2 linked regions of the Neurospora crassa OR74A genome follow. The protein of the gene in region 2 interacts with the protein of the main gene of each other region in a biochemical or structural test. Links are inferred from orthologs where the notes say so. Each region holds a gene or a part of one and is shown on either strand. Other genes may lie near its edges.

The links. The genes of interacting proteins can lie anywhere in the genome.
Region 1: the proteins of rpn-2 (region 2) and rpt-3 are reported together in a solved structure, tested with the Saccharomyces cerevisiae proteins (2 studies listed by BioGRID, with this or other methods). The link is inferred for Neurospora crassa OR74A from reciprocal best matches to the Saccharomyces cerevisiae genes RPN2 and RPT3.

Annotation. Positions count from the first base shown.
Region 1 is NC_026507.1:3,145,802-3,149,983, forward strand, and holds rpt-3 (26S protease regulatory subunit 6B), read left to right. Parts: upstream 1-1,371; 5' UTR 1,372-1,755; coding exon 1,756-1,952; intron 1,953-2,020; coding exon 2,021-2,119; intron 2,120-2,181; coding exon 2,182-3,151; 3' UTR 3,152-3,844; downstream 3,845-4,182. UniProt on the Saccharomyces cerevisiae protein: The 26S proteasome is involved in the ATP-dependent degradation of ubiquitinated proteins. The regulatory (or ATPase) complex confers ATP dependency and substrate specificity to the 26S complex.
Region 2 is NC_026507.1:236,614-238,656, forward strand, and holds the end of rpn-2 (26S proteasome regulatory subunit rpn2), read left to right. Parts: coding exon 1-687; intron 688-754; coding exon 755-1,237; 3' UTR 1,238-1,519; downstream 1,520-2,043. UniProt on the Saccharomyces cerevisiae protein: Acts as a regulatory subunit of the 26S proteasome which is involved in the ATP-dependent degradation of ubiquitinated proteins.

The DNA.
Region 1 (4,182 bases), about 2.9 Mb from region 2:
GTGAAGAAGGCCGAATGATGCGGCGGTTGCGTATCGCTGAATGAAGAGATCAAGGTGAAATGAGGATGGTTTTCAGCATAACAAAGAAGGGAAAGCAGGAGGTAACGGCAGATCGGAGGAAGCGGAGGTGTACAGTAACTAATAAGGCGATCCGAAAGTGGTGACTCTTGAGTTAGGACGGGGATGGGGTTGTTGGGCGTTTCCTGGTCCGTCCCCCCGGCTCCCACGAATTCACCATTCATGGACGCACGGGATTACACCGGATGCTTGAAGGGGTCTCTTCCTTGCCTGCGTAGGGGACCCGAGGATTGACGGGTGGATGGAGTTCAGTTCAGTTGCATGTCTATGTAAGTCTGCACTTTCCTGCGCTTACAGTAAGTATACCGCTCTGCAATTCATGTTGTACTTTTACATAAAGTTCCTGAATCGTCCTTTGTCGTTATCGTAACTTCACACCGAGACACGCCGGATGACGGGAGCCCAGGCTGATCTGCTTCAGGGCTTAAGATGTTCAACCCCAGTTCCTCAGACAGTCACCGGCTACGCACGCTCTACTGTACTGTATAGAGAAAAATAGTGTATCGAGTCAAGCCAGCAATTTAACCTTTGGACTGCCGCAATTCAAACCCCAACTACGCAACCCTCTCCCTTCTCATTCATCATACGCCTCGCGATCCCTCATCAGCACCGCTTCATGGCCATGATGCGTTCAGACGGGCCCGAGCCAGGCAAGGATGTGTTAGCTAACACACGGGATGCAGGGTGGTGTATGGTGACCACAATAGCATATCATCGCCGCATCATTCGATCCAAACAGTGGAGAAACTGGTATCGGCCGTCTTCGGAATGACAACTCGATCCCTTATCGCGGTAGTGTACGTTGAGCCACAGAGAAGTGATGTTACGACGATGGGATCTGCCATATCTCTCAACCTTAATTACACCACGTCGGGTATTGCGATAGCATGCAAGACATATCAAACAAATAAGAGACGATTGTCAATAGTGTAGAGGTCAAGCCAGAGACAAGTTACGGGGGGAGGACGGCGGACGACAAGCCGACCTGGCCGTCAAGGTGACACTTCGTGACGCCTAGCAAGGGTACCCGTGTGGATGTGGGGTTGAGAAAGGCTGGAGTCGCTCAACTGCGATGGTGGCACCCAACTTGAAGTGGAGGTCGACCTGCATGGAGGGGGGAGCCACCGACAAGGCTCCCGCCGCTTCAGTTCAGTTCAGTCCAATCTGCACTGTCCGGCAGTCACCCCTTGACACTGTCCAACAGCCCCACTTGCAGCTGGAGCGTCTCTGGTGAAGTGCGACTTTTGGCTACAAAAAATGGAGCATCTGTCATCGATAAGTGTGGCACTTATACAAGCTATATTGTACAAAGCAGGCACCGTAGCTGTGCTTGGTAGTCCACTATAACTGCCAGAACGTGGTCATCCAGCCAATCACTGTGCTTATGGCAGCACCCGGCAACGCAGGCTCCAGATGAATGACGAGCCACAGCTAGCCCAGCTTGCTGTTACTAGCAACAGCGACCACTGCATCAGCGACTGCTAGCACCGACAACCTACTACTGACACGCGCCACAAGGCGAACCTCGACGACGACAACAGAACAACAAGAAATACCACCCGACCGATCCCCCAGACCCACGTCAATTACAATCGCGCATCTGAGCGCTCGCGATACAACACACGGAAACATATCGATCAAGCCATTTAATACCATCACAAGAAAACATCCGCCAAGATGGGCGACGTCCTTGTCGAGACCCCGGCCAGTGTGACCCAGCCTCAAAAGAAGTCCGCCCCTTCGGCGATCCCCAACATCGAGACCTTCGAGGGCGTGTCAACAGAGGGCGGCGATGACTACATTACCTTGAAGAAGCTTCAGAGGCAGCTAGAATACATCAAGCTGCAGGAGGAATACATCAAGGATGAGCAGAGGTATGGTCACAGAAGCTCCACGCGCTGAGAGCTTGATGAGGAGGGGCTGACAACATGGTATCTGGCAGGAGCTTGAAGCGTGAGCTTGTACGTGCCCAGGAGGAAATCAAGAGGATTCAAAGTGTCCCCTTGGTGATTGGACAGTTCATGGAAGCTATCGATCAAAAGTATGGCCGCCCAATGCAACCCCCCGTCTTCAAAACTGGCCCAGACTAACCCTTCCTCTCAGCACGGGTATCGTTCAATCCAGTACTGGCTCAAACTACGTCGTCCGTATCCTTTCGACTCTCGATCGCGAGCTCCTCAAGCCCTCATCCTCCGTAGCGCTCCACCGTCACTCTAATGCCGTCGTCGATATTTTGCCGCCCGAGGCTGACTCCTCGATTGCTATGCTCGGTGCCGACGAGAAGCCCGACGTTACATATGCCGATGTTGGAGGGTTGGATATGCAGAAGCAGGAAATTCGGGAAGCCGTTGAGCTGCCCCTAACACACTTTGATCTTTACAAGCAGATCGGCATTGACCCCCCGCGCGGTGTCCTTCTCTACGGTCCTCCCGGTACCGGCAAGACAATGTTGGTCAAGGCGGTCGCAAACTCGACGACAGCGAACTTTATCCGCGTCGTCGGTTCCGAGTTCGTACAAAAGTATCTCGGTGAGGGTCCTCGCATGGTGCGCGACGTCTTCCGCATGGCTCGTGAGAACGCGCCCGCCATCATCTTCATCGACGAAATTGATGCCATTGCGACCAAGCGTTTCGACGCGCAGACGGGTGCCGATCGTGAGGTGCAAAGAATTCTGCTCGAATTGCTCAACCAGATGGACGGTTTCGACCAGACCGCCAACGTCAAGGTGATCATGGCCACCAACCGTGCCGACACCCTCGATCCCGCCCTGCTGCGTCCCGGTCGTCTTGATCGCAAGATCGAGTTTCCCAACCTGCGCGATCGCCGCGAGCGCCGTCTCATCTTCACCACGATTGCTGGCAAGATGAGCTTGGCCCCTGAGGTCGACCTTGACAGCTTGATTGTCCGCAACGATCCTCTCAGCGGTGCCGTCATCGCTGCCATTATGCAGGAGGCCGGTCTGCGCGCAGTACGGAAGAACAGGTACAACATCATCCAGGCTGATTTGGAGGACGCCTACAGCAGCCAAGTGAAGGGTACGAGCGACGAGAACAAGTTTGATTTCTACAAGTAAACCATCGGCGTCATGGGCTAGCTGTGTTGGGGTCGAGGACCACGGAACATGTGGGAGATTGCATTTTGGGTGGGTTGGTGCTATGCTTCTTGCTGCCTTGGGAAAATATAGTTTGTGCCCCAGATCAGCAGGGACTATAGACTTTCATAGAAGCGAACCAATTTGTACACTAGCGAATAAATCTAGAGCGGTACCAACATATATATATATGTGCGTACCTCTCTGGAGTTGCTCCAACTGAAAAAGTAGTAACACCCAAACGAAAAGAAGCAAGATGCCCTGGCTCCCAGCTGATACTATTTACATGTTCAGATCAACTTGCTCGGCGAAATTGAGTTCTCAGTGCGCTTTCTTTCTCTCCAGGTCATGGTATGCCACCATTTATCTTGATACATATGTAGATACATCTACGGCTGTATGGTGGTTCTCCGTTCCCGAAACGCCGTAGCTATAGCAAATCCCATTTAAATGAAGGGAGGATATGTCGGAAAAATGTAATGTGCTTCAATATAGATTCTTGTCTACTGAAAAATGATAAGGTCGGCTTGGAGAACATTTCTTGTCAGGGGGGAGGGAGGGGAAGAGATGATAAGAAAGGGTAAGACACCGTATCTACAGCATGTCCTCCCTTATGGATGGCAAGAGAGGCCAGGGTCGGGTCGTACTTGGGTATTCCAGCGAGTAAAATCCGATAATACTATCCTACATACATATTGATAACAGGACCTTGAGTGGTTACCTCAAAATTTTAAGTACCACTCAGGGCGTCTACACTATGGTAGTTCCTAGATATCGTTGCCGTCACTTGACATTCATTAAAAAAAAAGTGAAGGAAAAAAAAAGGACTTATTGTTTAAACTTCAAAATAACCTCGATGCTATTTGAGGGGTAAAGGGTGTATATCCTCCATGTGACTATTTGTAACTACTACTTGTAACTACCTACTTGGGATTGTACCTAAGGTAGGTATCGTTGTAGTCAGTCTAACACACTCACTCAGTCCCCTCTCCCGCCGCTCACTAGTGTACGTC
Region 2 (2,043 bases):
CGTCACGAGGAGCAGATGACCAAGTTCGGTGCCGCGCTTGCCCTCGGTATCATTGATGCCGGTGGCCGCAACTGCACCATTGGTCTTCAGACCCAGACGGGCAACCTCAACATGGCGGGCATTGTTGGCATGGCAGTGTTTACCCAGTACTGGTACTGGTTCCCCTTTACCCACTTTTTGTCTCTTAGCTTTGTGCCCACGTCCATCATTGGTCTCGACAGTGATCTGGCCATCCCCAACGTCAAGTTCCACTGCGCTACCCGTCCCAGCTTGTTCGACTACCCACCGGAGCAGGAGGTCAAGGTGGAGGAGGGACCCGCCTTGGTCACGACTGCGGTTCTGTCTACCACGGCGCAGGCCAAGCGCCGCGCCCAAAAGAAGGAGAAGGCGCAGCGTCGTGAGAGCATGGACATTGACACGCCGGCTGTTTCCAAGACAGCTTCCCAGCCTGCTGCCGAGGACAAGATGGATATCGACGACGATAAGAAGGCCGCCGCCAAGCCTGAAGAGTCCAAGGAGAAGAAGGAGGGTGAGTCTGGCGAGAAGGAGGCAACTGGCGCCACCGACGCCAAGAAGAAGGCGGAGAAGGAGAAGGTTGGCTACGAGATTGAGAACATGTCTCGTATTCTGCCTGGCCAGCTCAAGTACATAAGCTTCCCGGCTGGGCGTTATAAGCCAGTCAAGAAGGTGAGCTGCCCTGCATCACTTAATCTACCTAACTCATATCTTGTGTACTAACTAACTTTGCCTCCAGCCTACCGGTGGTCCCCTCCTCCTTTTCGATACCCAACCTTCGGAGGCCAAGTCCCTTGTAGAGGAAAAGCTCAACAAGGTAACCACGGAGCGCGCCCCCGTTGCCGGCGCCGGTGCTTCGGGTGCCAGCGATGGAACCCCCCGTCTCTCTGGCGGGGCGGCGCAATCGCTCCTTAGCCAGCTCCAAGGAACGGGCGCTTTCAACCGGTCCAGCATGCGGGAACTCAGCGAGCTGCTGCAGCTTGGCCAGCGTATGGAGCAGGATGCTTCTGCAGGACTCGGGGAGAGCAGAGCTCGCGGTGCTGGGGGTGCTGCGGCGGGAAGTGGAACTGGAGCTAGTGCTACGGCTGGCAGCGGTGCTGGTGCGGCTGCTGCTGCTGCGGTGTTGAATGCTGTCGATGAAGATGCCGAGGGTGATGAGGAGGCGCCGACGCCGGCGGAGTTTGAGTACTTTACTGATGCGGAGGCGGATGACGAAGAATAGAGGTCTAAGCGGAAGCCAAAGAAGTAGGAAATAGATGGTGGTGAAATGAAGGGTGAAGAGAATGAATAGACGGGCATTGAAATCTTGTCAGGGTGTTATGTGTCTGTGGCTGGTGCCATGGTGGTGAATGAAAGCGATGGAAAATGAGATGAACGGTCATGGTTTGATTGAAGGCCCAGGTGGTCTTTACACTAAGTTAAGCATATACAGTAGGAAGTATCTTGCATCAAGACCCATTATCAGCGATACTAGAAATCAGCGATCACACTACTCGGATTGTACATATTACTTGAGAACTGATCCATCCAGCAACATGTCGCGGTGTGAGATCCGTGTTTGGAAACAGTTGTCCAAACAGGAATCACACAAGTTACTATACTAACATATTTCGGAGCTATGCTGTGGTCCGTCGTTAAGAGTCTAATACCCGCCCTTGAATCACATGCAAGAGCCCTACAGCGGATTCCCCGGGGAGGGCGCGACGTCATCGACCAGTCCAGGTCCCTGTGGAACAACTTGGATTTCTTGGCAGCAATGACGACGTCGTTCAATCGTTTGTTTCCATGTGTTTTGTCTCTGGTCTTTTCTTTGAAGTTGATAGTCTGGTCTGGTCTGGTACCTCCTTCGTTACACATCTGAAACTGATAGAAGTTAGTATCTGGAATTCACTCCACTTTACATAGCAGTCTAGTCCTCCCCCCGATTTTTTCTTCATCCTTTCCTTTCATCCAGGCATTGCTTTCATCCTACACCACACTAGAATATTCAGTCCTGGTCTTTGTATCTACCCTCCAGTTAGTCGACAG